4 linked regions of the Arabidopsis thaliana genome follow. The protein of the gene in region 3 interacts with the protein of the main gene of each other region in a pairwise test. Each region holds a gene or a part of one and is shown on either strand. Other genes may lie near its edges. The genes, in order: AtHB23, HIPP21, ZFHD1 and HB22.

What was found.
Region 1: the proteins of ZFHD1 (region 3) and AtHB23 interact in a two-hybrid assay, tested with the Arabidopsis thaliana proteins (one study listed by BioGRID).
Region 2: the proteins of ZFHD1 (region 3) and HIPP21 interact in a two-hybrid assay, tested with the Arabidopsis thaliana proteins (one study listed by BioGRID).
Region 4: the proteins of ZFHD1 (region 3) and HB22 interact in a two-hybrid assay, tested with the Arabidopsis thaliana proteins (one study listed by BioGRID).

The regions. Positions count from the first base shown.
Region 1 is NC_003070.9:9,352,866-9,359,415, forward strand, and holds AtHB23 (homeobox protein 23), read left to right. Parts: upstream 1-2,961; 5' UTR 2,962-3,260; coding exon 3,261-3,366; intron 3,367-3,447; coding exon 3,448-3,818; intron 3,819-4,083; coding exon 4,084-4,374; 3' UTR 4,375-4,637; downstream 4,638-6,550. UniProt on the Arabidopsis thaliana protein: Probable transcription factor.
Region 2 is NC_003076.8:5,751,809-5,758,308, forward strand, and holds HIPP21 (Heavy metal transport/detoxification superfamily protein), read left to right. Parts: upstream 1-3,413; 5' UTR 3,414-3,577; coding exon 3,578-3,655; intron 3,656-3,997; coding exon 3,998-4,073; exon of another isoform or gene 4,074-4,617; coding exon of another isoform or gene 4,618-4,639; coding exon 4,640-4,935; 3' UTR 4,936-5,195; downstream 5,196-6,500. Other genes in the region: AT5G17440 (LUC7 related protein), read left to right, coding at 188-250, 626-684, 988-1,069, 1,155-1,198, 1,286-1,510, 1,589-1,607; AT5G17460 (glutamyl-tRNA (Gln) amidotransferase subunit C), read right to left, coding at 5,774-6,500. UniProt on the Arabidopsis thaliana protein: Heavy-metal-binding protein. Binds cadmium. May be involved in cadmium transport and play a role in cadmium detoxification.
Region 3 is NC_003070.9:26,179,710-26,185,890, forward strand, and holds ZFHD1 (zinc finger homeodomain 1), read left to right. Parts: upstream 1-2,446; 5' UTR 2,447-2,760; coding exon 2,761-3,489; 3' UTR 3,490-3,837; downstream 3,838-6,181. UniProt on the Arabidopsis thaliana protein: Transcription factor involved in the up-regulation of several stress-inducible genes. Acts as a transcriptional activator by interacting with MED25 and NAC proteins. Involved in increased drought tolerance.
Region 4 is NC_003071.7:15,345,962-15,351,673, forward strand, and holds HB22 (homeobox protein 22), read left to right. Parts: upstream 1-3,249; 5' UTR 3,250-3,365; coding exon 3,366-3,450; intron 3,451-3,569; coding exon 3,570-3,964; intron 3,965-4,049; coding exon 4,050-4,127; 3' UTR 4,128-4,329; downstream 4,330-5,712. Other genes in the region: RPL24A (ribosomal protein L24), read right to left, coding at 4,587-4,743, 4,838-4,986, 5,075-5,176, 5,286-5,361. UniProt on the Arabidopsis thaliana protein: Probable transcription factor.

The sequences.
Region 1 (6,550 bases), about 17 Mb from region 3:
GAACAATATATGTGTATGCCAAATAAATAAGTTATACTTGGAAGTATGTCAATACAATTTTATCAAAAAAAATAAAATGGTATGTATATACAATTTAAAAACGTGGAGAAGTTGTGTCTGAATTTAAATTGTTTAAAATATGATAGAAACAGACGAAGACCTCGATGTTTTCGAAGTCGTTTAGTTTGGATTATCTGTTTTTTAATGTTATCTGTAGTATATGGTATGGTCGTGCCATTTTATTTAAATCCTCTTGCATGTGATCATTAATGTGTTATCTTCGTCGTGTATATTATAACACGTATTGACTCGATAATTACGGTATTAGTGTGGTGTTATTAATGGAGTAGATAATTTATGATTACGTGTTAAAAGTAAAATGTATTGGGATATAAGGTTACATACCTTTTCTTTGAACAGAGAAATTCTTGCGCCTGAAAGTTAAATATAATCATGTACTGTATCAGTTCCCGTTTTTTTTCGGTCATTGATTTTTTTTTTCGGGCAACACATTAGTTGTTTTTATTTATGAGCACCAAAGACTAAGTAGAATTTTAAAAACATGATGAAATATTAATTATGACTTGAAGACATTTGAAAGTGTGATACATGTTTAGGAGCTGGTAACACGTTTTTAATGATAATCTCTCAATTTAGTATAGAATAAAATATACATATTTTGTATTATTCTGACAAATCAAATAGTTTTGAGTTATCACAAACTCTACAAGAAACCCATCTAAATTATAGTATAAGAAAATACTCCGGAACGCCAACCTTTACTTAATCAACCCTAAGTTGACGACCCAAAAAAAAAATTAACCTTTAAATCATTTGAATAATGGCCATAGGCCCAAATATGTTAACAAAAGAGCCTTGGCCCAGTTCCTGGCTAGACTTCCTTTCATTTTCTGTTATTTTTTTTTTGGTAAACCAACGGGAGGGACTGCCGTCTTTATTCAATAGAACCAAAAATAAAAAATTACATGGGCACATGTCTAGCCCCAGCAACACCTGCAGCATCCTCACGCATAATCGAATCGACAAACGGAAGACCTGAGTCAAAAGAAAGAAAGCCTAAAAGTAAACTAAAAGCATAGTTTGCTAACTCGTCAGCAAAACGGTTAGCTTCCCGATAAACATGCGAAACTCGGACTATCCAGTCCTTTGATGAGAAGCCATAGCACAAACGTACTAGGAATGACAACAGATGAGAGTCTTCTATCCCTGTCGTGAGAAAACCAGCCACCAATTTTGAATCTACCTCAAGCTCCAGCCGCGTTATACCCTTCTCCCAAGCTATAACCAACCCGTAGTACACACCCCAAAGCTCTGCTAACGGAGCCGTGCACCGCCCTAAATTCAGGGCAAAACTTCCTCGCCAATCCCCGTACTCGTCCCGCAAAGCTCCTCTTTTTCTGTTATTGTAGTGTGTGATTTGGCTTGTTCTCGCAAACATATATACCAACATTAAACAATACTCAAGTTTGTCCCCCCAAAAAAACTAATACTCAAGAAAATATACAAGTTGTTTTTCCATTTCAACAATTGGCCTTAGCCATATGTGTATACTACAATTTAAGATTGCATAATACATTAAGAAGGAATAGGCTTGCAATGTGATTTTTTATTAAGCAAAAAAATGAAAAAATATATATTTTGTGTACACCTTTTGATACTAAATGAAAAATTGAGCATATTTATTTATATGCGTTTGTTTGTATGTCGTTGAATTGCACTTTTCATATCTCATGCAACATAAAAAATTCATAGAATAAATAGTTTATGCTTTTAGATAAATACAATTGAGGTTAAAACACACAAAAAAGAACAACTCGTGGTAATTTATAAAATAGTTTCAACAAAAATATTTAAACTTGTAGAATATAGACTTGTTGATTACAAAATGATTTGATAGGGAGACCAATTTATACAGTAGTTGGGCCTATATTAAAGTATTTTATCATAAAACCGACCAAAACGTCTAAGAAAGTTGATAAGTGGGGGACCTGAGAAAGAGAAGAAGAAGAAGGAAGAAACCGGCCTCGCATATAAAATGGGCTTTGTGTCAAAACACAATCTGCGGTGATGAAGAGCTTTTTGTGTCCCCCGAAAGTATGTTTACCTACCATAGAGAAAAAGTCATGTTATGTTGTAAAAGGTTTTAAAAAGAAGAAGTCTAATCATATCATAGACTAGTGAGAGTTACCATGTAGGACCTTAGAGTTTGCTTTCATTTCATATCATTGAGACATAGACAAGTGATACCATGTAGGGCCTCTAAGAGTTTGCTTGCATATACTTCTTGACGACCAAAATCACTAGTTTTAGTTCTCGTTAGAAATAAAATTCCATTGACTTGAACACTTATGCATGCAACCATCCAAATGCTTATGTAGGGCATGCTGTTAAAAGAAATTTTAATTAGATATCAACTTTGAAATATTTCATTAAGAATATCAGTTTTTTTTACATATCATATTTAAATTCAACTCTTTTTTTGAAGAGAAAGTGGTAAGAGTATCTAGATCTATAAACTCCCAAAATTTGAAGTATTTGTTACAAATACTCAAATTGTTCATTACGGTACATATTTAATTATACACATCTGAATTAAATATATTCACAATAAATTAATTATGATAATCTAGTGGTTGAAAAAATTACTATTAAATTGAGTGACCATAATCTAATCAATTCACTGTAATATCAATCATGGTTGACCACTGTAAACATCTTAAATTGCAAGAATATGCTATCTTTCACAATGTCCGGAGATTATTATGAATTTCGTTTCAAAAATTCTATAATAGAAAAATATACATATATAATTAGTATGACTATGATATATCTGTCTTTCTATTCGTAAAAAACAAGAATTATCTTTAAAAATACTTGATATGAAAAACTACATAGTACATATCCGTAATCTACCAAAACGGATACAACGTAGTAAAATTAGGGATTTTCCAAAACATACAAAAGCCCATATTCCACCCCTCCAAAGACTATAATCATCCCATGTCTACCTCTCTGTCTCATCGGCTTTGAGTCTTGTCTCCTATTTTATATACTCATATAATAAACAAAATAAAACCAAATTTTCTAATCTAGCTAGTATTTAGCCTATAAGTGGTGTATACTCAGTCTTCTAATTCATTTCACCACCATCCTTCTTCTTCTTTATTTAGTTTTCTTTCTGTACTTTGAACCAAGACAAGGTGGTGGAGAGGAGAAGAAGAAAACAACCAACAAGAGACATGTCTTGTAATAATAATGGCTTAGCTTTCTTCCCTGAAAATTTCAGTCTCCAAAACCATCACCAAGAAGAAGAAGATCACCCTCAACTTCTTCAAGACTTCCATGGTACATCATCTCAATTAACACCTTTGTTCAAAATTTCTAATCCTTTTTTTTTCTACTTCTCAAGATCTTCTCTGTTTTTAGGGTTTCTAGGTAAAAGATCTCCAATGAACAACGTGCAAGGGTTTTGTAATCTAGATATGAACGGAGATGAAGAATATTCAGACGATGGATCTAAGATGGGAGAGAAGAAGAGGAGATTGAACATGGAACAATTGAAGGCACTAGAGAAGGACTTTGAGCTTGGTAATAAACTTGAATCAGATCGAAAATTAGAGCTAGCTCGTGCCTTGGGATTGCAACCTAGACAAATTGCTATATGGTTCCAAAACAGAAGAGCTCGATCCAAAACCAAGCAGCTTGAGAAAGACTATGACATGCTTAAGCGTCAATTCGAAAGTCTCAGAGATGAGAACGAAGTTCTTCAAACTCAAAATCAAAAGCTTCAAGCTCAGGTAAAAGCAGAAACTTCATAACACAAAAGTACTCTGTTTCTTTTTTAATCTTAAATACTCTGTTTTTTAAATCATATATTTCATAAAATATGAATCTTTTTTAGTTGAATTTTATAAAAACAATGCTCTTTTTTGTTTTTTATTGATGTTATTCTTTCAGTTTCGAATTCATAATTTGGAATATATTTGTTTTAGGTCAAAACATAATTTGGAATCATTTTGCAATTTTACGTTCTTTCTTAAATAGTTTGTGTAAATTATGCAGGTAATGGCATTGAAAAGCAGAGAACCAATAGAATCAATCAATCTGAACAAAGAAACAGAAGGATCATGTAGTGACAGAAGTGAGAACATTTCTGGTGACATCAGGCCACCGGAGATCGATAGCCAATTCGCCCTAGGCCATCCACCGACAACTACAACGATGCAGTTTTTTCAGAATTCATCGTCAGAACAGAGAATGGTGAAAGAAGAGAACAGTATCAGTAACATGTTCTGTGGAATTGATGACCAGTCTGGGTTCTGGCCATGGCTTGACCAGCAACAATACAATTGAATGTGGTCGATCTGTTCTTGTTTGTATTAAAATTTTCGTTTTCTTTAAGTGGTCAGATGAACCAATTCATGTTTCAAGAATCTATATTTAGTCTATATGCACCAACTAAGCTAGTAGTTTTTTTGGGTAATGTGATGTAAGAGAATTAATGGGGGAAATATTCATCATATTATATGATAATTAATCAATCATATGGGCCATATGATTAGACATTAAAAAAAGTCTGAACCATGTGCTTTTATATCGTACAACTAATATCCAGAAAACTCTAAGAAATAAAAATTTTAAAAACCCACCCAAAAAGACTTTTCCATGAAACAAATTATGCTTATGTCATAATTAAGTCTATAAGATGAACAAAAATAGAAGACATGATCTTAAAAATAGATCATTAATTACGATTAGCGGTACAATAAACTGTAGAAATCATATAGTTAAATGGCACGGTTGAAGTAAAATGTGAAGTGTGTGAAAGAAAGAGCATCAATTTACAGATTCCGAGGAGAGGATGCAAACAAATAGGGTTGGAAAGTGGTCATTCTCTTTCTGAAAATGGACCCAACACTTTTTACCCTTTCATCGACACTGACATTGCCCGACGACTCCAAATTTGTTATTCATATAAGCCATCTCTTAGGCTATGAATGGTGACATACACCGTACCCAAAACCGCACCGCAACAGTGTCAAAATCTCTACATATACATATGTATTTATATATTTTTGTTACTATTTGAACCGCACCGCACTTCTTCCGTACCGCAAAACGCAGTCGCCATTCGGACCTTTAATTAAAAAATAATAATAATTAATAACACACACCATGACTTACAAAAGTTGTGAACCACCAAGGCACTAAGTTTGGAGTCGTCGAGCAGTGTCAGTAACGGTGCTCTTTATACATTATATCTCTACCGTTTAACTTGTATTGGAGCCGCGTTTTAATTAGTAAGTGGTGTATTTTGCATCGCACCGATACAAATGTTAGCAATCACACACCCATGGAATCTATGGGTTTTGTTTTTTTTTTTTTTTTCCGAATATGTGTAAAAAGACCTCATTTGACTGGTAAATTAAAACCTATACGAGTATTAACAATGACTAAACGAGTTAAAATGGAATTGCATAGCATTAGAAAAAACTTTTCGGAAAATGAAAAGGTGATAAAGTTTCCATTGATGATTAGTCTAGCGCCGGGTGGAATAAAAATTGACTGGGGAACAAGAAAGCGACAGAATCTGAAAGCCAAGAGGGCAAGAGGATTATCTTCGTATTCTAACGTTGACAACCAAACACCGAGGTTAAGCTTGTAAAATGTGTCATTTTGGACTAATTAATTCAAGAATCTTCATGGGATCATGTGCATTTCCTTAATCTAATGTTTTATTGGTTACTGTAATATTCTAAGGATATTTTCTTATACGCAAATTTTAAATCTTTGACATTTAGGGTGACGGTTCTTCATATGCCAACACGCAATTCCACTTCTCTAAGAACAATTAGTTTTAAAATGTAATACATAATAATTCAATGACTCTAACCAAATAAATAATTACCTGTAAAGAAGAACTTGTTATGTGGCCATGTGCATAGAGGTTTAGTTCCCTAATGAAGTATTCACTTCCAATGGACACGCCGAACATACATTGACCACAGGAATGTAATGCGGAAAGTATCAATTACTTCTTCGATGGAATTTTATATTCCATTTGTTATGTACTATACATTCTTAAGAAACTAAGCATTTATTTTAAAAAAATTTAATTAGATAATTCATTAACTTAAAATAAATTTTAATTTTATACTATTAGATTTAATTTATTATAGTTTAATTTAATTTAACTCAAATTAATTTAATTAAAATAAACTTAATTTTTCATTTTATTTTAAATTGCTGATTAAAATCAAATTTATTTATTTAGTTTTATTTTTATTGTATATTAAATTAACTAGTTTTTTTTTTTGTAATTTTAGCATTCGCTGGCAACCAATGACTAATGAATGGGACCAGTCGCAGGAGGTCGATGAAATTTCACTCGTATATGTATTCTCATTTTCTTTTATTTACGAAGACAAAGATGATATGATGATTTGATGATGCTGCGGTCACTACTCGCTGCTTCTTTACATCCAATTCAAATTATAATGCCTCTATGATTTTCTGCAAATACTTATCT
Region 2 (6,500 bases), on a different chromosome or scaffold from region 3:
CTTCATACTTTATAAGATTTGGAGATGTTAATGAAGTCTATTGACACAGGGATCTCTCTTTGTCTTGGTGGTTAATTTGCTTGAATAGTTCTGCATGTTCCTTATGTCTCTCCCTACTCACTTATTGTATAATATTTTCCCCTACTTTTATTAGTTCCTAAGAGTGTTGTGCCTGTACATGTTTCAGCTTACTGCTAGACAAGAACCTGTAGTGGATTCAACCAAGTACACTGCTGCTGACGTGCGCATTGTAAGTCAAGATCATCATTTATATCACCTTATCTCCGACATGATAATATATTGAAATCCATTTCTCATAGAGGCCCTCAAGATTCTTAATTCTTAGGTTATTATCTTATATAGTTTGTTTAGTCTGATGAACATTAGAATTTAAGGAAGATAGTCCTAATCCTAGTATCCAAAAAGAAGTAATGGCTTATAAAGTTTGAGGACAATTAAAATGCTTTGGTTGAAGCATGTATTCAGTGTTCTCAATTGTCAAACAGCGTAAACAGAAATTGCTTTTGAAGTGAAGTATATACCATTTTCTCATCTCTGCTCGCTGTATATTTTTTGTCACTGTGTTGGTTGGTAGTCCTCATTCTCTCTTCTCTTATTGTCTCAGACAGACCAGAAGCTGCGTCTATGTGACATATGCGGAGCATTTTTGAGCGTCTATGACAGGTTAACTTTAATTACTTAAATTTGTTTATGTTTTATGGTTCCGTGGCGTTTCATAAGAAAGCTAGAAATAGATTATTGGGTTGCAAGTGGTTCATTATTTGACCCCGGCTATTGTACCTCCTTTTCACCAGCAGGCTATTTGGGCCCAGTTTTACGAGGATTACTTTTGCAGCTAATAAATGTGCGTTCTTTCTTGATTTATTGTGCCTGTTAGAGATAAATAATGGAACTTTAAACTATATCTTTGTCACCAATCTGTTATTTGCATTTGGCAATGTCAAAAATCTGTTGTACTGCCTTTAGTGATCGTCGGTTAGCTGATCATTTTGGAGGGAAGCTTCACTTGGGTTACATGCTGATCCGCGACAAATTGGCAGAGCTTCAGGTAATATACAGTAGAATCTTTCTAGTGATTTTCCTTTTCTCTCTTGATATAGACTGTATAGTTATATTCTCTCTGTCTTCTTCAGGAGGAGAAGAACAAAGTTCACAAGGAACGGGTCGAAGAAAGGAGGTTTATTTTTCTCAAGCATTTGAACACATTGTTTGTTTACTTCCTTTAATCTTCAACATTTTTGCTGAAAACCTAAACCAATCTCAGATCAAAGGAGAGGAGTAGAGAGCGAGAATCAAGTAAAGACAGAGACGGAGGAGATAACCGTGACCGAGGAAGAGATGTTGACCGCAGGAGTAGAGATCGTGACAGGCACCATGACCACCGAGAACATGACAGAAACTATAATCAGTCACGTGGCTATGACTCAAGAAGCCGGCGCAGTTCACGGTCCCGGTCTAGGGAAAGACCGAGGGATCATGATCGCCGCAGGTAACTTTGATTAAGAACATACACACATCTTATTATTACTTCTGGCTACATTAAAGTAAGTATTTAACTACCTTGCAGACGCCATGACCGCTACTAAAACCCTGCCAAAGATGGTTGCACCTGGTTTAAGAGGTTCTTACAGATGCGTTTAGGATCTATTTGGAGTTACAAACACTTTCTTTTTTCTTTGCTCAAGTGTTTTAAGGATTTTTGAGATTGTAACTTACTTTAAGTTTGTAAGAGGAGCTTCTTCAGATATCTTTAATTTGTTTTTTATGTTGTTGACATCAAAGACTTGCGAGTAGAAAGAAGATTTTGTTGATCTCATGGCTCTCTCTCTCTCAATTGAGATGTGTATGGCTTACCATTAAATTGGTCTCCTTCTGTAGTGGACAACATTTTATCAATTTTTTTTCTTTTTAATAATTTGACATCTATCCATACACCAAGAAAAAGCTTTGGCAAAAAATTTAAGACAACATAGAAAACTTGTGGTAGTTATTTGTTTATTTCTTATGACAAAATTAACGGTCGATTTAAAGCCGTAAAAGACCACAACAGTAAAAAAACATGAATTGTGTCCAACACAGGTGGCTTAGAATCTACGAGAGACGATTTAAAAATTGTCTGATATGTTTCAGAAAAGTTAGAATATAAAAACTGATCTTACCCAAAAAATAGCATAAGGTTCAACGTCAAGTCAGCGTACTCTCTCCATTGTACTTCTCTCGGTTTTCTGCGTACACCTTTTACTATTCTGCGTTAACCTTACTGAAACATAGTTCGATTCCATTGAAAAAGCCGCAACTATATATTAGTAAGGAGAAGAATAAATGATTATCCAAGTTAAAATATTACAAAAAATACCAAGTCAGTCTTAAGCCTCACATATTTTTAGAGCAAAATCTAAAACATAACCACAACTTCATGATGAATACGAATCAGCATTTAAATATTGTTGAAACTCATCACCGTCAAACCTTATCGCATCACCTCCTCGTACTCGTAACACCCTCCTAACATTTAAACAAACTTTTAAGAGATCATTAATTTTGGGTTATGTCATTTAGTTTCCTAGTTGTTATCGTTAGAACAATCTAATTATCTAAATATCACGCAAATATCTATATCTACAAACTATACACCTATATTGAAAATATCCCAAAAATGCTAATATATCCATTAGTAGAAAAAGGGAAGGTCAAAGATCATTTGTAACTCAACATCACACTGTATCACAAAGCATCTCAAGTTTTAGCATTGTTCTATGATTTTATTCAAAAAATAAATAACGGTCACCATTCATTTTAGTGTTTTTAAAGCATCTCATAATAGTATTTATATATAGTTTTAATGATTTTTAAGTTGATGGAATCATATTGGGCAATTATTGGGACTTTCTTTCTAAAAAATAAGAATTGGGTGATGCAGAAGCCACACTCGTTTGAATCGAAACCAAAGCAAAGGTCAATAAAAAAAAGAGTTTTGTTTAATAACGCCAATAAATTCTCATTACACTATAGTATGATTAAAGAAACTGAAATCAAACATATCTATAATAGAGGTCTCTTGTTTCAGTTTTAACTCGAATTGATGACTAGGACAAGATTCAGCTCTCATCAAATGTTTTTATGTTTTTTGTTGATCTCATCAAATTTGTTTTGATATATCCTTAATTATAAGGACAAAAAAACCGGAATTAAAAATAATTGATTTTATTTCATCATTGGTTTACCATAGTTTTTTTTTTCCTTCTCACTTTTGTTCCTAATCAACCTTTTGCTTCTACAACATTTTTATCGTGAAAAAATATTGAATTTATTCTGAAAAATAGACTACTCAAAAAAAATCCAAGAAAGCCTACATATGTACATGGAATCTTGAATGCATGTCACGTAACTCTCTTCTCCTTCTCTATTAAGAAAGCCTCTTTCTTCTTCTCTCTCCCTATATATACACTACTCACAAACACTCACATACATATATATACACAAACATACAATATACATATTAATTTACACACATTTGATCATATACACATAGTTTTTTTGCTGACGAAAAAAGAGAATGGGTGCATTTGATTATATCTCTAGCTTTTGTTCATATACATACGCTAATGCCAAAACCAAGCGTAAGCCATTGCAGGTCTGTTCTTTCTCTCATCTCTTTTACAAGCTAGCTACTCTGCTTTTTTTCATTCTTTATATCACACATAATACTCTATTATCTTTATACTCAAACTGTTTTGGTTAACTTCAAAACTATATGCTAATACGTTATACGTCCCATGCACAAATTCAAATGTTACGTTTCAAAAATGTGAATATGGTTTTTGTTAAATACGTTTCTTCAAAACTTCATCAAAAAACAATTCGTTATACATAGCTAACACAATTGGTCGAAAGTCGAATCTAGAAACTCATTACTGCTGAATATAAAATATGCATGTTTATTTTAATAATTGGTAATTAAATGGGTTTTGTGTAGACAGTGGATATCAAGGTGAAAATGGACTGTGATGGTTGTGAAAGGAGAGTTAGAAACGTGGTTCGTCGCATGAAAGGTTCTCTTTCCCCATCTCTCTCTCTGACTTTGAATCAAAACTTTCTTCAATCTCTCTTTTTTTCCCTTTTTGTTTCCATTTTCTTTATTCTCCATGCTTTTCTCTTTTAAAGATTCTTATTCCTCTCTTAAAATTGCAATTTTATAGCTGGCCAGAATATATATAATTACAATTACTAATCATTTGCTCAATCCTTTGATTGGAAAAACTGTACCAAACTTTTAGTCCGAAAATATTATGGGTCAAATGGTCCCGAATCTACCTTTATTTACATATGTTAAAAGAGTCCCATGAAGCATTATCAGTAAATATGATCCAATCACATTTTTCCATGGAGTTATTAGTTTCTTTACTTTATAATAATTTTCTAATAAAATAAATTTTGTAGCCTAAAAAATATAGTAAAAGATCATAAATATGGTAGTAAAACAATTTGGTAAGAAAAATACTTTTAATCTTAAACTCCAACATAGTATGATATTATAGCAAACTAGAAAACAATTTTACTGATATAGATATACATTTTAATATTACAAAAACTTGAATGTTGAAACCGACCGGTACAGGGGTGAAATCGGTGGAGGTGAACCGGAAACAGAGCCGGATAACGGTGAACGGACACGTGGACCCAAACAAGGTGTTGAAGAGAGTGAAGAGCACCGGTAAAAAGGCTGAGTTTTGGCCTTACATACCTCAACATATGGTCTATTACCCTTTTGCTCCTGGCATGTACGATAAACGTGCACCTGCAGGCCACATCCGTAATCCCACTCAATCGTTTCCAACAGCAAACGCTCCCGAGGAAAATTACGTTTCCCTCTTCAGCGACGACAACGTCCACGCCGCTTGTTCCATCATGTGAGCCAACCAACCAAAAGATTACTCATAATCTCCATTTTGTAATTTGTATACTTTTGTTAAAATCAAAAGGTAATGTAGGAACTTTGTAATAAAATTATAGAGACAACACCGGAATCTATTTGATGGTTTATGTTTCGAACAATACTTTTTGTCCAAGAAGAAGTCAAATCAATAACCATAAGCTATGTAGAATCTTAAAAGTGAAAAATAGGTATAATGGACCAATTAAGCAACCAATGTTTGTCTAATTTCTATAGGACATGAATGACACTTTGACAATAATCATACATTAATAAAATAATTAAAGAAGAATATTAAGGAAGAGACCCAAAAATCAGAATCATGTGATTTGTTAGGCAAATTGCTTCATTTTTACTATTTTGACTAGAATAAGCTTCAAAGGGCAAGAGAGTGTCACATTTACAAGTTCCAATCTTTTTAACACCAAAGGAAAAAAAGAAAACTTTTGAAGATCAAAAGAATGCAAAAAGCTGTATTCTTCTTCCCCAAAAAAATGTCCAAGAGGGACCAAAGCATCTTTAGCTTTTCTTTCAAAGCTTCTTTCTTTAGAAGAAGGAATCATAAAGACCAGAATCACGGTAAAGGAAAGCTGTTTACTCACGGTACCGCATTACAAATTTACGATGAAATAAGACTTGAGTGGATATTTTTGGAGGCTGTTTGGTGTTCTCTAAGCATGCTTTAAACCTACAAAGATCATTCTGAATCAATATAAGATTAGTTTAAAGAAATGGATTTGATACTTTAATCAATCGTTTGAAAGAATGAATGGACTCACCTGTTAAATCTATCGAAATCGTTGAACTAGCGTGGAGCTTTTACCGCTTCTTCGCTTTCCTTATTCTGGACTGTGCCTTCTGCCATTTCTTCCTAGGCACTAGTTTACTCTTTGGCTTCAACTTTATTTCAGGTGTGAACTTGAAGTTTGGATCTCTCATTCGAGTTTGTATATCCTTGAAGAACTGCATGTTCAGTCTCTTGGGTCCACCTTTTCTTAGCTCTTCATACTCAGGTCCCGAGATAATGTTTTCAAATGCTCCAATCAGAATGTCAACATCACTCATTACTTCCCACACGTTTGTGTAGCGCCCATCAGGCCCTTTATTCAGTTTCTTCAACGCGTTCTCAACAGCAAGCTTCCTCGCCTTTTTACCGGGTGAAAGCTCCTCAGGTTCATTTTCAGATTTCAACAACTCTGAGATTGTCCTGTACTTTGGTTTCTCCTCAAACTCAAACAACTTATCTAAGTATTTATCAGATGCCTCGTTCGGGCGTGGCTCTGTTGGAATATCGTCGTCATCATCACCTTCATCGCCAGTCCACAGCGTTTTTTCCTCATCACTTCCTGACCAAACGCTGTACAATTCATCACTATCATCTCCATCAATTTGATCGGTGCTATCCTTAGCTTGTTGTCTAGCTTTCTTAATCTCTTTTTCAAGACGGTTTCTTCCGCTTTCTTGTTTTGTCTTATCATTGCTTTCGTCTTCACTTCCTGACCATAGAGTATCATCATCCTCCATTTCTTTCTCCCATGTTTTTCTA
Region 3 (6,181 bases):
AGAGATTCTATGATCTATCTTCACCTCTTCTTCTTAGTACGCTCAAACGGATTTCATGTTCTTGTCAATCAATTTAACGATTTTCTTCGTGGTCGAAGATTGGTCTCGTGCCTCCTCTCATTTCTTTATCACTAAATAAAGAGTATCGTGTTTTGAAACAGTACTTGGGAATAAATTTTGTTGTGGAATCAAGATCTTTACTCGCAAGCTCTCTCGTGATATCCTTCTATTTTGTCTGAGTTATCAGCTCTTCCCACACCTTTCTCGAATACTGGCATTGAAAAAACAAATGCTCTCTCGTCTCCAACGGATTTTTACAAAATACGCAATTTGTATCCGCATTTTGGTTCCATTTAATCATTCTTTATTATGTTGCAACTTTGCTTTTCACAACCAGTCAAGTGACAACATCATACTTTGGAGTAGCTTTGGAAAAACTAACTTCTTTGTATCCTTGCATCTCCGGTTTAGCTATGCATATTTGTGACCACGTCTCTTTAGAGACAAATTGCTTACGGTAGTTATCGTTTTTTATCTAGTCTTTGTTTCTGTTTATTTTTCTAGTAGTGAATTTTAGCATTTGTTATTTATCTAATTAAGTCTTACTTTGTGTCATTTACCTACTTATTCAATAGGTATATACATAGATAGAAACGTTACGCAAAAATGACCCCATGATCATATGACATTTAAAATTTCGGCTACAAATGACTTTTTCTCCAACCTTAGTGGCCGGTTTGCGGGATGCGCGTGCTATTTCGGTCATTGACAAGATCGTTAGGAGATTGTTCTAATCCGTCTTTATGATTCTAATTGTGATACGAGTAAATAAATTGTTAAATCAAAGTCTCTGTCAACGAATTATTAGTAAAACAATAAATACGTTTATTTAATTATTTTTATTGTATGGTCAAATATCTCCCGATTGTTGTAAATTGGATTCTAATTAAGCGTGATTGGTGACTAGGTTTATGATAAACGACAAAACGTAACACCAACTGTTATTCATTTATTCTCCTCGCAAACAATGCTTTAATTAGTCTCATTTCAGGGATCAGACTCTTAACTATACATTAATGAATAATTTATATGCCTTTCAATAAGATTTTAAGTTAATTAAACGAGTATCCAAAGCTTAACGAAATGAATGTTGATGTCTGATTTGTTTTGTTACTTTAATTCTAAAGAGTAAAGACCTTAGTAATTATAATTAATAACAAAATTAGCCATGCAGTTTGATCTTACCAATAACATTCACATGTAGTAACATTGTAACTTATAAGAAAAGGTTCATCATTTTTTTCATGAATGGATCATCATAAAAGTAACAATAACTAGTCACAAAATGTTCCTTCAATTTTTATTTTTTTGATAGAAACTATATTTGTTGTAAAAACAAACCCTATAAGAATCGATATGGAAAATGGCTAATGAAGATTCAAAATAATTGTGGGGTACTTAGAAGAGGAAGACTTGAAGACATACACCACATAATTGTGACCCAAAAGCTAATCAATAACGTAAGCAAAATGCGAAAGAACACTAAATTTCGGCGCCACACTAATGACAAGAAGTGAGAATAAAAGGTCGGTAAGAGATAAGAGTCTTTCCAAAGGGTGGTTAAGGAATTTAGACATTTAAATTTCATGATTAATTACGAAACATGAAGTTTGGCAATTGTCACAACAAACTCTTCTTTGCTCCACGATTGAGTCAAGTATTAAGTATTCGTGCGAAAGAAGTTCTTTTAGAGGTGTTTTCGGTAATCTACAAAATCTTCTAGTTGTTTAGCACTTTTCCTTTTGGAACGAATTAGTACATTAGCATAAGTCAAATATTTCACTAGAACACGTAATACCTATACTAGTAAGAAATTTTATTGACTTTATTGTTTAGTTAGATTATCGTTATAGGAAAATTTACGATTTTAGACCTCTAGATAAGAAAATGGTCCCTAAACAGAATCAAAATTGAAAAGATTAAAACGTTTTAGTATAAAAATGCAGGGGTGATACAGTGAAATTAACAGAAGTATGGGGTGGTAACGTAAACTCTTAAAAATAAGAAACTGTAATATGTACAGTGGAATATGAAACTGCAGGGCAGCTGTAATTGTCCTTTAGTACGATGCATGTAATGGGCTATTGCCACGTATACACTTTGGACTCAAATCTTCCAACTAATCCCATCCTCTCCTTCGAATATATTCGATTAATTAAAATTTTATGTCACGCTCAGAAATTATTCATCTTTTTTATTTCTTTTACACAACAAGTTACCCACTGGTGAAAGTGAAAACCCATATCTTACAAATGTCCCGTAAAATCATTGCTTTCTGATAAGACCTCAGATTCAATATTTTATACAGGTTCAAAGTGTATAGTCTGTCTATATAACGTATGAATAGATATCAAAACTAGTGACTAAAATATTCAAAAAAATCTCTGTTTCACCAAAACAAGAAAAAAAAAAAGTAAAAAAGAAGTTGTGAATTTTCATTGATATACAGTGAGTGTTTTCTTTCTTTTGCTGTATGTTTTGGACGTTTGTGAGTAAGCACTTATTATTATTTTCCAAGTCCTAATTATATTTCATCACTGCCATGTTCTTTACCGATATAATTACATCATCGTCACATGCACTTACATAATTATCCTTTTTTAATAAATAAAATAAAACTACAAAACCTAATCTTCTCATTAATCACAAAAGCAAAAGATTTAAGTAAACACACTATAAAGACAGAACTAAACAAAAGCTATGGATTTGTCTTCCAAACCACAACAACAACTTCTAAACTCTCTTCCCATCGCCGGAGAACTAACTGTCACCGGAGAAATGGGTGTTTGTTACAAAGAGTGTTTGAAAAACCACGCGGCTAATCTCGGCGGCCATGCTCTCGACGGTTGCGGCGAGTTTATGCCGAGTCCCACGGCTACTTCCACCGATCCTTCTTCTCTCCGTTGCGCTGCTTGTGGCTGCCACCGTAACTTCCACCGCCGTGACCCTTCCGAGAATCTCAACTTCCTCACCGCGCCTCCGATTTCTTCTCCCTCCGGCACTGAGTCGCCGCCGTCTCGTCACGTGTCTTCTCCTGTTCCTTGCTCTTACTACACCTCAGCTCCTCCACATCACGTGATTCTCTCTCTCAGCTCCGGTTTCCCTGGACCGTCAGATCAAGATCCAACGGTGGTTAGGTCAGAGAACAGTTCAAGAGGAGCAATGAGGAAACGAACAAGAACCAAATTCACGCCGGAGCAGAAGATCAAGATGAGAGCCTTCGCAGAGAAAGCTGGTTGGAAAATCAACGGATGTGATGAAAAGTCGGTGAGAGAGTTTTGTAACGAAGTTGGGATTGAGAGAGGAGTTCTTAAAGTGTGGATGCATAACAACAAGTACTCACTTCTCAATGGCAAGATCAGAGAGATCGAACATGGCCTGTGTCTGAACACTCACAGCAATGATGGTGATGGGTCTTCATCTTCTTGAAGAAAGATTCAAGATTCGGGTTAAACCGAATTAGGATACTTTAATTTGGGAAAATATGAGCATTAACCGGTTTAAAATCATATAATAGTGTCTTTTCTCTAACATGTAATCGATCTTGATATAAATATTTATGCGGTTTGATCTTTTCTATTTTCATCACTTTGACAGAGATGTGGTCAGAGATCACAAATGGGTTTGGTAATAAATAAGTTTTTAAATCGGAGGTTGAAACGAATTTTGATAGACCATTTCTAATTATAGTAAGTGCATAAGCGCTAATTGTGATCGTAGAGATCAAAAGATTCGTTTCTTTGTTTACTTTCTGATTATTCAATGTTATCTTCTGTATTATTAGAAATAAATCTCCTGAACTTTAGAGATAGAGTAAGTAAAGTTTGCTTAATGAAGATACGACGACGTGGTTATTACGAATTGCAACAAACTATGGCGTGGCGGAATATAATTAGGTCACTGGGCGGCACATTTTTGTTGTTAATTTATATGATATGATTAAAAGTTATTAAAATGCTGGCTTATCTCTTTCCATTTAGGGATAAGCTTTGGCAACACCAATCTTGCTTATTTATCCTAATTAAGTACAATGCAGATGTTACGATTACTAAAATATCTACTATGTGCAATGATTTGGCTCTTCCCGCACCACTGATATTAAAAATTCGTTTTTTTTCTTTCATTCATCATGTATTAACGAATCATAGCGAATGCTTTATCACGTATAAATGGTCGTAAGTTCAATGCCGGAGACAAAGTATTTTACCATGTATGTACGAAGTAACGAAGCCCAAGCCTTAACAAAAGGCCGGTACGAATATCCATGCCAGATAGATCAATGTATGCAAAAGCTCTATGTAGATACGAGTAACTGCATGCAATGATTAATGATCAATATATGGTACACAAATTGTTTAACATGCATTTGGCGGATAAAATAATTTACATTATAGATCGGTATATGTGTTTATGGTTGGATGATTGAATTTTTTGTATGCTACTAATTAAGATTCCGATTGGACAATATTCCAATACCTAGCTAATATCGATTTTAGATGTTAGTGGTCCGATTAATTGATGATGTAGATATCAAATTCTTATATCAGTGGATCAAAAATATGATACACGAAGACATGTTACATAATGATGAAAAAAGTAGCAACGGATAATCCCCATACCAACAGTATGTAACATGTCTTCGTGTATCACATTTTTTAGATGATATTTCAAAAAAAAAGGTTTTTATTAGTTAGATGTTTTCTTTTGTTGGAATATGCAAAGAGGAAAGCAATGTAAAAAATTCCATTATAGCTAAAGCCCATTGTAGTTTTTGATTTTTGAGACTAGACCCAATAACACACTAAAGGACACTAATCGAACCAAGTATCTTAGGGATCCGTTAAGTCTTTCACCAACCGGAGACTTGGTCAAGTATAAGTATAACCGTTGAAGCATACCATAATCCAAGTCAAAGATCAGAATCCTTCAGTGGGGATCTTGCATCCAAAATCGATATGTATAGTCACGGTGGCAATTTTGAGCCAAGCCAGAGACGAAGCAGCTCAGGAAAACTCATCATGCTTTACTTTGGATTGGTAAGGACACTGATAAGTTGATCACCACATGGAACATCTTTATCATCTATCTAGTGTGTATTTATGTTAGATAAATGATTATCAAGAGAGGTCTTCTTGGGTTGGGAGATGTATAAGGTAGTGATTAAGATGTATATAAACACATTTAAATGAGTCAAATGGTTAAATAAGTCAATTTTTTGTTTGAAGTAAAATAAAATAAATAAGTTTCTTTTATAAAGTAAACAAAATCATTTTACCTTCTTTACAATTTATAAGATAAAACATGCACCAATCACCATTTATTAAATCTAGTTTCCATTTTACCTACATTAAAAGAGGATGGGATACGTCAGCATCAATGTCTGGTCCAAATTTATTGAGACACGTGTAGCCTTGCATCTCTATTGCACGTTGAAAATGAAACGAAAATGATAATTAATTTGCTTAACACCTAAAAGAAAAGGACTAATAAACGATCGCACTCGAAATTAAAAAGGAATTTTCAATTTCAACGTAACACGAGCATCTGCCAAATGCTCTCGTATAATAGTCAATCAATTTTGTTTTTGGACCGTGACTTGGCCATGTTTGGACGGTCGAAGACCAAAATCTCTCACGCGACTATCTACAATTCTACATGTTACCCAAACTCATTAATACACCTATAAGGCTACAAGTGTTCACCAGCAGCTACACATAACATGAAACTGCTGATATTTTTCGTTGGTCGCCCCCCCATAGGCATGTATGTCCGGGCTCGACCGTGACCCGATCATACCTTTACTTGATCTATATCTTCCAACTTTTCTAAATAGTTATGAAACGCTAATTATCTTTACTATTACAACTACTTTTTTTTTGTGATATAACTATAAATATCATTAAAAATGAAAAGTTTAGGGATTACAAAATGTAACACCTATAACTTTTTAAGTCAAAAAACAAGGCTACAAATATTTATGAAGACACCAAAGTGAAATCACCTAATCCAAAGTTGCATTAAATTTCTAAAATGCTTCATTTGTCTTCGAGGACTGATTACAGTTATGATATCTTTATCCATCAGCTCAAAAGTGGTATGGTGAGACGAGACTGTGAGATTG
Region 4 (5,712 bases), on a different chromosome or scaffold from region 3:
AGATCTAATGAAGAGTTGCAACAATTTTGATCTTGTAAGAAATTAAATCAAAACTTTGTCCAAATCTATTCTTTAAGGTTATGTCCCCGTTATACACATGATTTGCCTCTGTTATTTCTAGTAATTGTATGTTAATCTTTTTCAAAGAGATTTATCGTTTTAGTATATATATAAATGTAAGTAGGTGATAGTACAAAAGCGCCCGTGGCCTAATGGATAAGGCGTTTGACTTCTAATCAAACGATTGTGGGTTCGAGTCCCACCGGGCGTGCCAATTCTATTTTTGTCCATCTATAAATCGGCCCATTGTTGACAGTGGTCGGCCCAATTATACTTCGAATGTTAGTTATTGTTTCCATTGCTGATAGATCGACAGGACGGTTTTGTATGGCGATTTCGGCAAGAGGAATGGCGATAACTGGAATCGAAGATCACAGATACTGGAATTGGATTGAAACAGAAGAATGAAGGTACAATATTTCCGAAACTCATTGAACTTAAGTAGAATTAGCAAGTAGATATCAAAGTGTTAACACAGAAGTAGATGATCAAGAGCATTGCAATACTTGGTTTGTGATCATGTTATTTGACCTGTTTTTCGTAAACTGTTGATCTTTGGCTCTCAGTTTTGTGAATCTTTTAGAACAATTCTCTCTCTGGCAGATCAAATAAGGATTGAAAGTTTCCATATGTTCCTTGTGTTAACAAAAAAAAGTATCACACCACAATTATTCCGGTTCAAAGTCCATTTTTTGCTTGTATCTCATACTATAGTTAAAAACTTGTACCATTTCATATCACCAGTCGATTCAATATGAACATGTAAAGTGGGTACAAATTGTGATTACTTAAAAAAAATGAAAATAGATAGGCTTTGACAATTGTAACTTGAAAGAAAAGGGTCTTGTTCAAACGTAAGGACCATTCTTTAAAAGGGACCATTTTAATGTTAGGGTAATTGTTAAAACGTAGTTTAAGTTGTTATTCCAATGTCTATTTTCGTATTGAATGTTGATTTCGTTTTCACGACGGGGAGACACGTGACAGTTTCGACTTAAATTACCAAAAAGGTAATAATGGCAAATGGAAAGTCAGGTTCTGTGACTTCTGCCTTCCACTTGTTGGCATTTGGCAGTGCCAAAGTACATGTCAGAAAGATGTTATTGTCAAATTTGTCTGTAAAAAGAATTCTTATACTAGATTTCACCATGCTCTCTGTTTAGCAAGTACGTAATATACTGAAAACATTAACCGTTGGTTTTGGTGTTTAACTAACATGGAATTTTGACCTATAAAGAAGGAAACAATTCTAGTGAGCTTCTTCTTTATACGAAAACATTCAGTAAATGACACAACACGCTGCTCTCTTGAGCTTTATTTCTCTGTAACTTTATACTATATGGTCCTCGTTTTTAGATTATCATAATATAGCTTTCTTCGTAGTACTATTTAGTATTTACTCACTCAATTTATCACTTCTACACTCTCTCTATTCATTGGATTGTGACAATAATAGTTACGTATCTCGATCCCAAAGTGTTGAATTCAATAGATTTTAACAGGCTTTATACCTTCAGCTTCTAACAGAGATGCTTCTTGATTTAGCTTAGAACTAGCAGATAATAAGTAGATCTCTTTGGCATCTTTGATTATCCATCATGCTCCTGATGGTTAATTATTCTGTTTATATGTAACTTTTATTGTAGTTACATTCTCATTATTGATCCCTTCCAACATTGATGATCAAATATATCTTCGATCGGGATTCAAAAGAGCCTTTAACTAATTACTCTTATCTTCTAGCGTTTGTAGGATTTTTGTTCGCTTTCATTAACATATGTGAACACGAAAAGTTAAACCAATTTTTATGATTATAATCTATTACAAATTTATTTGGTTTACATTGTTTTATTTTAAGCAAAATCATATGGGACTAGTGGCTCTTTTTCCGTTTCCCAACTTATACGTGTTTTCGATACCACATGTTATATAAAAAATATATATAATTAACAATATTTCCAAATGCTTATGAAAAATTAATAATGATTTAGATACAGTTTTGTTTCTGGTAAAGATGTATAAACTAATACACAAGGGAGAAATAAATTATTAAAAAAAAGTCAGTTTAAAAAAATTAGGATCACCGGTTAAGATTTTTTTCTTTGAAAATCTTTTATTTTTATTCAATCCAATGACTTGATACAGAAAAAATATCCCCATCTTGAAATCACATCAAAAATTGGCTGATGTAGTTGTTACGTGCTTTGGAAATGGAACAAAATATACTTATGTCAGTCACAATTAACGTTTAAACCGTAGAATTTGATTTAGAGAAACATAACTAGTGCTAGAAACTTCATCTTTATCTAACCATATAAGCATTTACCATTTCTTCAAGATAAGTTGCATCATTCAATTTCTAACTATACTTTATCGCCGGATCATACCAAAAAAACACGTAGATCGATATGATGATACTATTTTCACTAGTGCACTGTGTGCTCCCAAATTTTGTCAGGATCAGAATTGGACCCTTCTGATCTATCTGTTGGAGTAGCACCCTGCAGCTCCACAGTGTTAAATAAAGATTGTGGGGACTTTACAAATACATATACATACAAAGAGATGAAAACTGGAGGCTATATTACAGATTGAGAGTAGAAGTTTGAATTCATATATGTCAGATTGGTTGGTTAATTAAGGTAGAGAAAGTGATAGACATTTGTACAAATGTAGAATCTGGACCATTCTCTCTTTTCTTTTTCACCTCTATCTCTTACTCTTACTGTTCCTTTCTCAACTCACATTACTTTCATTTTATTTTATTCTTTTATATATACTAAAATCCACATTAATTGGTCACGTATAATACGAAATACCTACGTTATTACTTATGTAAATATCTTACTTATGGAAACATACAAGGTCATGTGAGAATATGAGAATAATAATCAATTTTTAACAAAAATTTCAAACTAAATAATCACCATTAACTTTTTTTAGCTCGTTTTGTATCGTATAATGCATTTGCTCAACACCGCCTATTCTTACCCTCATCGTTCGGAGTACTATTTGTTACCGGTCAGACTAATGAAACCATTCATTTACACATATATTTATCTTACTTGATAGTGACCAATTAGTTACCCGAAGTTAAAAACAGAAGCCCTAGCGTTTTCAACCACATTTACTTATCTATATATAATGTTCCTGCATGTTCTAACATATGCATATAGTGATAAAGATACACCCATATCAAACACCCAAAGTTGCTCATTTCCTTGTTTAGGTAAAAAATAGTCTCTTGAAAGTGATTGTTGTAAGCAGAGATAGACAAAAGAGGTAAAAAAAAAGAAGAAGAGAAGATGGAATATTGGAGCAGCTCCTTCATCGATGGCGCGTCTTCTTCCAGCTTCATCTCTCCTTTCTATAACTTTGACCATTTTTCAGGTAACATGCATCCATAGTACTAGGTTTTAGTAGAGCTAGTTTATATGCTTAATGCTTAATCATTCACTCAACTGTATGTCGCTTTACAAGTCTCTCTCTGTCTTGTATTGAATTTGTAGGAAACCAAGACAACAGATGTTTAGGTACAATGATGGGTGCACAACAAGATATACTTCATGTTCCTCTAGCAATGGTAGAGAGTGGCTATGGAGAAGAAAGCAACAGTTTTAATGGACAGGAGAAGAAAAAAAAGAAGATGACGAGCGAGCAGCTAAAGTTCCTCGAGAGAAGTTTCCAAGAAGAGATAAAGCTGAATCCGGACAGGAAGATGAAGCTGAATCCGGACAGGAAGATGAAGCTGTCCAAAGAACTGGGGCTGCAGCCGAGACAGATTGCGGTTTGGTTCCAGAACAGGAAAGCCAGGTGGAAGAACAAACAACTTGAGCATCTCTATGAATCACTAAGACAAGAGTTTGATATTGTCTCTAGAGAAAAGGAATTGCTACAAGAAGAGGTAATTACTCCAGTGATCAATACTAACTTAATAAATAAGCTTTCGAGTTACAATCCATTGAGTTACTTTCACTTTGTTTCAACAGCTAATACAACTGAAATCAATGATAAGAGAGGATAGTTCATGCAAGAAGAAACAAACCTGGGAAAAAGCCTGCAGCTGAGGCAATAGTATATAAGTTCCACTTCAGTTATATCTCCAAAATGGCTCAAATTTGTAGCTTTAGTCCCAAACAAGCAACAATTTCTATGGCTGATTCTGTTTTCCTTTGTATTAAGTATTGTTTAAGTGATTTTCGTGTAAAGGGTTCTTTACTAAGTTGAAGTTAATGAAGAAACATCGTGATTCAAGAACTCTAGATCCATAATCAATGCTTAACCAAAGCTCAATTTAGCTCAGACCACTAATAATGTCCTAGAATAAGCCAAGTTGAAAATTCTATTTAGCAGTTTTTGGATCTACGAGTAAAACACAAGGGGATTGATACCAAACAAAAAGTTTTCATAAACTGAATATATTAGATCTGGTGCAAAACTAAAAAATGGCTGACAAAACAAAACAATGTCAAAACAAGAAAGAAAGATAAGTGAAGAGAGAAGAGTGGGCTACTCTATAGCTCCATTCAACGTCTGCCTCCACCACCACCCATCTTAGCAGCCTTGGGTGCAGCACTCTTGGGGATATTTCCCTTCACTTGTGACTTCTGTTGCTTTGATGCATACTCGACCTTCTTTGCCTTCTTCTCGTCCTTGGTCTTCTTGATTCTCTCCTTGATCTCACTGCATAATCATCAGATTAGCTTTGAATCAATCACATTTCAGTTTCAAAAAAAAATTGATGTATATAGTGACTGTCTTCGGGAAAGAAACAAACCGTAGGGCAGCTTCTCTAGCGGCATCACGAACTTCAGGCTTCTCTGCTCGCTTCTTCTGAATAACCTCCAAAGTAGCACCGACAATCGACCTTGAGTAAGGCTTCTTAGTTGCACGTCTCCTTCTCTTCACAGCCTCTTGTGCTGCGTCCTGTAAGAAGAGAGAAAACAAAGATCACAACAGAATTCAATAGTACTAAATCATGAAAACAAGAAGCAACTAAAAAAAGAAACATTACCTTCTTGTGCTGCTTTCGGTACATAGCAGTCCAGCAAAGCTTAGATGGCTTCAACTTGTTGTGGAAATACCTCTTACATTTGGAGTTGAGAAACAAAAACACCTAATACAACCATAAAAACCAAAGATGATTTAATCAATACAGATACATAGTAACAACAGATAAGACTCTTCTTAACAAGTAGAGCACACATTTAACCAAAATAAAGTACCTGAGAGTCCGATCGGATAAATCTGATCCCTCTACCAGGGTAAATTTTCTGGCCACTGAATCGGCAAAGCTCAGTCCTACAATACAAAGATAATCAATGGTTTAGTGATAATCCAAAACCAACCCTGGTCACAATCACAAACAGTCACAGGACACACATTCAAAGCCATCTCATTTTACAATGTCCTAAAAGCAGAACTAGTAAATGGCTAATTAGATATCTGCCCAATGAGAGAAACAATACGATTCACAAGAGTCACAATGATTTGAAACAGAGACCAAACACAATTAATTCAATGTACAGAATTACAAACAAAAATGTTGCAAAGTGAAGGGAAACAATAAGATCTAGTTATTGCCGAACACAAGCCATATCTCGTACCAGAAAATCACAATTTGCAGACATTTCTGATCGGGAAATAAACAGA